Mus musculus: one gene and its partner. The protein of the gene in region 1 purifies or fractionates together with the protein of each later gene. This does not show direct contact. Links are inferred from orthologs where the notes say so. Each region holds a gene or a part of one and is shown on either strand. Other genes may lie near its edges.

Region 1 (4,007 bases):
ATAGATTTCATTTGGAGAGATGTGGGCTCAAATTCTTTTCCCATTGCACACTCCCCCCCCCCCAAACAGCATCTGAAAGTGAGGAGCACAGGGAATCAGAGCCAGTCCTTTCACTCGGCTGCTTTATTTTTGAGACAGGAGCTCACCAATGTGGCTCTGGCTGGCGTGGAACTCAGAGAGCCACTTGTACAGGGGTTAGAGGTATGTGCCACTATGCCCTGTCCTTCCCATTTAATGAATAACTGTGAATGAGGGACAAATGAAGAGGATGGAGCTGGAGAGGAGATGGCTCAGACGTTAAGAGCACTGGCTGCTCTCCCAGAGGACTTGAGTTTAATTCTTTTTCTCATAAAGGAAAACAATTTTTTTTTTGTTTTTTGGTTTTTTTGTTTTTCGAGACAGGGTTTCTCTGTGTAGCCCTGGCTATCCTGGAACTCACTTTGTAGACCAGGCTGGCCTCAAACTCAGAAATACGACTGCCTCTGCCTTCCGAGTGCTAGGATTAAAGGCGTGCGCTACCACGCCCAGGTAAAGGAAAATAATTAATTGAGCTGGCTTAGTGCTTCCCCCATCCCAGCCCTCCAAAAAGGAACCACATATAGTGGTGTACTCCTTTAATCCCCACACTCAGAAGTACTCAGAAGGCAGGGGCAGCTGCATCTCTGGGGTTGAGGCCAGCCTGGCCTACACAGGGAGTTCCAGGGCAGCCAGAGCTGTGTACAGACCCTGTTTTAAAAGCACCCTACCCTAATAAATAAAATAAAGAAATCTTTTTAAAATACAACATTGAGACATAAATTCAAGGATCTCAAATCCGACTGAAACCAAGACAAGGGATTGGTGTGGCCTTCCTGCAATCTCAACAAGTGTGTCTCAGAAGTTTTTTAAAAAGCAGAAAATAGCCAGGCATGGTGGCGTATGCCTTTAATCCCAGCACTTGGGAGGCAGAGGCAGGTGGATTTCTGTTTGAGGCCAGCCTGGTCTACAAAATGAGTTCCAAGACAGCCAGGGCTACACAGAGAAACCCTGTCTCGAAAAACAAAACAAAAAACAAAACAAAAGCAGAAAATACTTGGACAAGCCATACTGGAAGACTTTATTTTCTTGGGGGAGGGGCGTGGTCTCTTATAAGCTGCTCTGGCCTTGAACCTCCCACCTCTACCTCCCAAGACAGTGGGGGGGATAGATGTGCCCCTCACCCAGCTGTCTGGCTTTCCTATTTTGAAATAGGATCTCTTTATATTGCAGATGTCTGGAACTCCCTGTCTTGAACTCCTGAGATCTGTAGATTACAGGTGAGGGTAATCATATCCAAATATACTCTGAATACAAATTTCTATTCAGTGTAAGTTAGGATTTTACTAGTCTTCATAATGCACCATTAACCCCAGAAGGGCTTAATGAATAACGTCATTCAGATGGGAATATCTGAAATCCTTAGCCTTGTACTCAATTTCTTTTCACAATACTACTTGTCAGTTGTTTTCATTCTATTCCCAGACTCTTGAGGCCAAGTATCTGGGGGTAAAAAAAATGATCAAAATCTATAATCACAAAACCAAGATTCTTAGAAATTACAAAGCCTTGTCACCCAACTCGTTGCAGAAAATTATTTTATAAATTCGAAAACGGCATTCAGCCTTTTACTCAAAGAGTCAGTTCTGATTGGATTTCCAATCGGGCACTCCCAAGCAGTGCCCGGGAATTTTCTTTTTAATAGAGGATTCTTTTTATTTATTTTCATAGGTGCGTCGGTGTTTTTCCTAGATGTATGTCTGTATGTGAGGGTGTCAAAAATCACCTGGAACTGGAGTTAAAGACAGTTGTGAGCTGCCTTGTGAGTGCTGGGAAATTGAACCCACCTCCTCTGGGAGAGCAATCAGTGCTTTTAGCCGCTAAACCATCTCTCTAACCCCGCCTGGGAATCTTAAAACGACCGGAAAAGAATTCGAATTTGTTAACTTGCAAGGAAATAAAGCCTTTCTTTCTTTCTTTCTTTTTTTTTTTTTTTTTTTTTTTTTTTTTTTTTTTTTTGTGACAGGGTTTCTCTGTGTAACCCTGGCTGTCCTGGAACTCACTCTGTAGCCCTGGCTATCCTCGAACTCAGAAATCCGCCTGCCTCCGCCTCCCAAGTGGTGGGATTAAAGGCGTGTGCCACCACTGGCCGGCTCAAGCCGTCTTCCTAACTCAAGTAAAAACGCGGAACTGTAAGACACGAAGAAAAAACGATACATTTAAAACTTTAAGGTTAAAAAAACTTCAGGGCTTTTTGTACTGTCTCACTCCGTAGCCCAGGTTAGTCTTAAACTACATCTCCTAGGCTAAACTCGAATCGATTTTGTTCTAGCCTCCCGAGCAATGCGATTACAGACTATACTCAAGAGATGAGAAGCCCACACCATTACATGCTCAGCGTTTACACAGAGAAGAGGCCGAGTAGCCGCGACTTGCGGCGGCACCTGAGCTCGGCCGCCAGCTACGCCAGGCCTGAGACAAACCCACCCCGGCCTCGAGGAAGCGTGTCAACCCCGCGCTGTCCCCGCTGCTCGCCCCGCTAGTGGCCTCGGGCACAGATGCCCTCCGGAGCCGGCTTCGAGCGCCCCAGCCACAGACATCGGTGCCTGAAGACCGGCGAACCCAGCTTGTCGAACCTGGTACCAGACCCGCACCTCAGTAATGGGTCCCGCCCCTAAGAGACCCGCACCTTCTCCTCATGGTGGACGCTCCAAGCTGTCCAGAATCGAGACCCTCCACTTGCCACGCGCGGGACGGAGAACGGTAACCAGCCGCAGCAGACTTCACCCGGAGTCCGTCTCCACTCTCGAGCCGTTGGACCCCGCGGAATTCAAACCGAGCCAGAGGCGGTGCCAAATGACAATTGGTTACCGCGTCCGCCACTCACGGAGCCCCGCCCTCGTCCCGCCCCTCCTGCGAAGGGCTGCTGCCTAGGCCTGGGATACAGAGACCGCCTAGGGCGTGGGAAGCGCTTGCACGGGGAGCGTGCGGGCCTCAATATGCGCATGCGTGCACCTATGCCCGCCTCAAGGGTGGGGTGTAGGGGTGTGGCCGATGATGTCACCGGTACCCACTGAGTTGCTGCCGTTGGGTTTCAAATTTTTGTGCTTCCTGAGAAGTATTGGGTAGACTGCCAGAACAGCTCGACTTCTTGCTACTCTCCAATGTCCCAAGAGGAGCAGGGACTAGCAGGAAAGCTTAGAAGGAAAAAAAAACCAGGCTCTTGGTCCTGGTACCTTAGTGGACAAGTTTATCGCATTTAATCATTAGAACACACCTGTTAATAATGATCATCACTATCCTGAAGAAAAAGATTTGAGTAGCTTTTCCAGAACGTAGGCGGCAGAGACAGGACAGGGAAATAGTTTGGGCTACAGGAAAAAACTGACTTGCCCAATTTAGCTGTGAGCAAATGGTGATTTGGGCTTTGTTTTTCTTGCACATTATAAGATTTAGGTAAATCAGGAAAACTCCACAATTTGAACATGACATCAAAGTATTTGTGTAGCCGGGCGTGGTGGCGCACGCCTTTAATACCAGCACTTGGGAGGCAGAGGCAGGCGGATTTCTGAGTTCGAGGCCAGCCTGGTCCGCAAAGTGAGTTCCAGGACAGCCAGGGCTACACAGAGAAACCCTGTCTCGAAAAACCAAAACAAACAAACAAACAAACAAAAAACAAAAACAAAAAACAACCAAAGTATTTGTGTGTCCTTTTCTTCCCACTGACCCATAGCATCTGTATCCCATTTTCAATGATTTACTATTACCTAATACACTGCTATGGGAGTATCTCCTTTGCTACTCAGACTAAAATTTGTAATAAAGCTGAGATGAATTTCTTTTTTGCTACCTCCTCCAAAATGATTTGTAGAAGTGTAATTATTGAATTCTCCTTTGCGAAGAGGTACTTATTAACCTATCTTCTGCACCAAACTTTACCTGGAGTATCCTTGTTACCCACAGCACTGGTGATTAGCAATGCGCTTTTAAAC
Region 2 (4,130 bases), about 42 Mb from region 1:
AGACTGGGAAAGACAGCAGCACTGCCATTTTTTGCTCAATCCAGCAATTGGATCTTGCTAAGACCCTCCTGGGGGAACTAGAGCAACAACAGCTTCTAACGGAAGGTATCACTTAAGTGCCCAGATAGGCAGGGGGGCAAAGAGGGTGTCTGGGAACAGTGACCAGAGCTGGCCGTTTTTTTCTATGAAAAGCCACACGCCTGCTCTGTGTGGCCACTCTTTTTACATGTTGTAAATCCATTTTTTTTTTTTTTTCGAGACAGGGTTTCTCTGTATAGCTCTGGCTGTCCTGGAACTCACTTTGTAGACCAGGCTGGCCTTGAACTCAGAAATCCGCCTGCCTCCCCAGTGCTGGGATTAAAGGTGTGTGCCATTACGCCCCGGCTCATTTTTTTTTTTTCCTAAGTGAAGGCTGAACGGACACTTCGGCAGGGCAGACTTGGCCTTGGTATACCGGCATGCTAGCACTCTTCTAACCAGCTACCCCCCCACCTCTGACTAAAAAATTAATTTTTTCTATTTGGGGCTCTGGGCCACACAACTTGGAACAACCCAGGTAACCTTGCATCGCGGGGCAGACGTCCGGTGTTTCTTACATATCACAGGGCATAGGAATCATCTGAAGGTCTTGTTTGACCGGCAGGTCATGCCTGGGAAGTTTCTTTCCTTTGGGGTTAGTGGAGCGGTAGCTGAGGCTGATCTCGGCTAACTTGTAATCCTGAACCCACGCCCCTCCTTTGCCTTCTTAGGGAATTCCAGGTGCTGCAGATGCTGCTGGCCTCCTGCGTTGTTCAAGAGAAGGGTTGAGTTACTTCTCAGGGGCTGGGAGCCCCTAGTGCCACAGAGGAGATCGGTCCGTTGCGCCGTGAAGGTGCATCTGCCTGCTGAGCTTGCTCAGTTTTGGGTTTATTTAGGCTAGCCGGGGAGAGGGCTGTCCACCGCGGAGGCGGTGCACTCTCAAGCTACCGGTTGGCCTGGAGTTTCAGTTCTAGAAGGCCGGGTCCGGTGGAGGAAGGTGTTAGATCTTAACAGTTAGGAGAAGCCCCTGGAGGAGGCGCAGGTGAACCACATGAGCACGCCCCAGCCGAGGAGCAGAAAGCAGGACAGAATCCTGTTCTTCTAGGGATCTTCACGTAGTTGCTTCGTTCCTGGTTTCCCAGGCAATCCTGAGCAAACGCAGTCCTCCAGTCCCTGCCCATTAAAAATTTCGCCGGCAAGATCGGAGTTTAAAGGCGGCTGCGCCGTAGAGCACTCCCATGGTGCCGCGCGCTGGGCGGGTTTGTATTTTAAATCCCCGCGGCCAATCAGCAACGCGCAGGCCCTTGTAACGTTCCCAGCGCCGCGTTTGAATTCGGGGAGGAGCGGAGCAGAGCAGGACCCTCTGCACCGACTCAGCCAGGTTCGTGGAGCAACTTCGGCATCATGAATGCAGCGGCCAAAGCTGGAAAGCTGGCTCGAGCACCAGCCGACCTCGGGAAAGGTGGGGTTCCGGGAGATGCAGTTCCCGGTGCCCCAGTGGCCGCCCCGCTGGCGAAAGAAATTCCGGAGGTCCTAGTGGACCCACGCAGCCGGCGGCAGTATGTACGGGGGCGCTTTCTGGGTAAAGGAGGCTTCGCCAAATGCTTCGAGATCTCAGACGCAGACACAAAAGAGGTGTTCGCAGGCAAGATCGTGCCTAAGTCTTTGCTGCTCAAGCCCCACCAGAAGGAGAAGATGTCTATGGAGATCTCAATTCACCGCAGCCTAGCACACCAACACGTCGTAGGCTTCCATGACTTTTTTGAGGACAGCGACTTTGTATTTGTAGTTTTGGAGCTCTGTCGCAGGAGGGTGAGTGTTTCAGTCGCAGTGCTGGGGCTCCCACACCTGGAACTTGCTGACAAAGGGGCACCGAGGTTTTGGAGTGACCTAGAGGAGTGGTTGGGTTTCAAACTTTTATGGAAAGGCTTCTAGCGAGGGTACTTGGCACTCCGAACTGCTGAGGCCGGGGTTCTGGGGAAACCGAGACCAGATCCTGTTGCTATTAGGGATGGAGCTCCCAGACGCAAGGCAGCGAGTCGGTACAGGAAATGGATTCATAAAGTGGCTAAGGAAGGGTCCCAGGCTTGGTGTGCCACGCACCTCTAACTTCCGGAGTGGGGCAGGGTCGGGGGAGGGGGCGGCTGTTTGGAGTCAGATTTTAGAGCTTTCAGGAAAGGGAGGGAATCTCCTGCCAGGAGGAAGCCCTGGGTAGGGGAGTCGAGAGTGGGGTTGAGAGAAGACTCAGGAGAGGGTCTGGTGAATGATAGTGACCAACCAGTGTATGGGTAGAACTATCAGAAACCTGCTAAGACTCTCCACTCCGAGCGTCTAGTCCTAGCCACATCCAGCTAGCCACTCTTCTTGGACTTCAGTGACCTCTTTCTCCCTCCTCAGTCCCTCCTGGAGCTGCACAAGAGGAGGAAGGCACTGACCGAGCCTGAGGCCCGCTACTACCTGCGACAGATAGTCCTGGGCTGCCAGTACCTGCACCGCAATCAGGTCATTCACAGGGACCTCAAGCTGGGCAACCTCTTCCTGAACGAGGATCTGGAGGTGAAAATAGGTGAGGTGCTGGGCCTTCGGGTGTCTGGTGTCAGGGCAGGAGGGGACAAGGAGGGGAAGGTGAGGAAATAGAGATGCTGCCCTCTAGTTAGGAAGTGGAAAGTGTGTGTGTGTGTGTGTGTGTGTGTGTGTGTGTTTGTGTGTGTGTGACACTTTCCTTGCCTTTTTTTTAGATGCATTGGTGTTTATGCCTCAACTCAGTAGTTTTGAACTTGGGGCCCCTCCCCCAAATGCTTCTCTATAACCTAGCACTGAGCCAGACCCTCAGCCAATTTCAGGTCTGGACTTACGCTGTAGAGTATGGCAGGCAGCATCTCCTCAGGTGTCTCTTTACTAAGCTGAAAAACCTGCCCCCTTGAGTCTGATTGGCCAGTCCCTAGATCCCTGTCACTTCTCCACACACTTGCCCAGCAGCAGTCACGAAGATCATCTACTTGATTCCCCAGTGCATCTAATTCTGCTATCCTGTGCATTTTAAATTTCATTTACTTATGAATGGAGACAGGCTAACTTCAAGGAGTCAGTTCTTTCTTTCCACTGTGTGGGTCCCAGGATCGACGTAGATCATGTTATCAGTCTTGGCAGCAAGCCCCTTTACCTCCTGAGCCACCTTAACCACCGTAACCCTGCTATCTAAAGAGGTGTGTGGGAGGCTGGCTAGGGCCAGTACAGTGGAAGGGTTCAGGGACTCTGGGGCCTCAAGCCACTAGTTCTCAATGCTCAGGATCAAAACAGAGCTGCCTGCAACCACAGACAGCCCGGGCTTAGCAGCTGAGCACCCTCTCTTCTTTCCTCTGTCCCAGGGGATTTTGGCTTGGCAACCAAAGTGGAATATGAAGGGGAACGAAAGAAGACCTTGTGTGGCACTCCTAACTACATAGCTCCTGAGGTGCTGAGCAAGAAGGGACACAGTTTTGAGGTGGATGTGTGGTCCATTGGGTGCATCATGTAAGTTGGCAATGGCCTTGGCTCCTGGGCCTCAGCAGGGCTTTCTGAGGCTTCTCACCCAGTTGACTTTGCCATGTGAATCTTTCTACCTTATAGAAAGGCTGTTTTAGTGGACAGGCTGTCCCACATGAAACCCTGCTTTTCATATATCAGTCTGGCGTAGGCTGTTGGATTCCTGTAACTTGACTTGTTGGTCCAGGGAAGGGATCAAAAAGTCCCTGAACTTTTCCTCCTGGCCCTTGGTGCTTACTAAAAGTATGCACAGATCCAAACCATCAACACCTGAGAGCTTGTTAGGAATTCAGAATTTCAGATCTGAACCTGGGTTTAATACAATCCCTGCCTGACTTTCCATGGAGCATTGGAAGTCCTGCTGAGTGCTGAAGGGAGAACTAGGCCAGTAGAAAGCCTGGCGATAGGCAGAACCACCACGGTGGCCTGTGGTGGATAGCAGTGGCCTCTGGGGCACTGGGAGAGTCCTCGGTCACTGTAGGCCAGAGCCGTCAATTCCTGGCCCCTTGGTACACAGGTGTTGTCACTTGCATCCTTCTGAGGGCTTGTCCCAGCCTTTGGTTGCTGTGTCACTGGACTGACTTGGA

What was found.
Region 2: the proteins of Prc1 (region 1) and Plk1 purify together in Homo sapiens (affinity purification with western blotting; 4 studies listed by BioGRID and IntAct, with this or other methods). This does not show direct contact. The link is inferred for Mus musculus from reciprocal best matches to the Homo sapiens genes PRC1 and PLK1.

The regions. Positions count from the first base shown.
Region 1 is NC_000073.6:80,293,289-80,297,295, reverse strand, and holds the start of Prc1 (protein regulator of cytokinesis 1), read right to left. Parts: upstream 2,821-4,007; 5' UTR 2,716-2,820; coding exon 2,705-2,715; exon of another isoform or gene 2,348-2,704; intron 1,296-2,347; exon of another isoform or gene 1,249-1,295; intron 1-1,248. UniProt on the Homo sapiens protein: Key regulator of cytokinesis that cross-links antiparrallel microtubules at an average distance of 35 nM. Essential for controlling the spatiotemporal formation of the midzone and successful cytokinesis.
Region 2 is NC_000073.6:122,158,121-122,162,250, forward strand, and holds the start of Plk1 (serine/threonine-protein kinase PLK1), read left to right. Parts: upstream 1-1,314; 5' UTR 1,315-1,422; coding exon 1,423-1,830; intron 1,831-2,415; coding exon 2,416-2,584; intron 2,585-3,386; coding exon 3,387-3,531; intron 3,532-4,130. UniProt on the Homo sapiens protein: Serine/threonine-protein kinase that performs several important functions throughout M phase of the cell cycle, including the regulation of centrosome maturation and spindle assembly, the removal of cohesins from chromosome arms, the inactivation of anaphase-promoting complex/cyclosome (APC/C) inhibitors, and the regulation of mitotic exit and cytokinesis.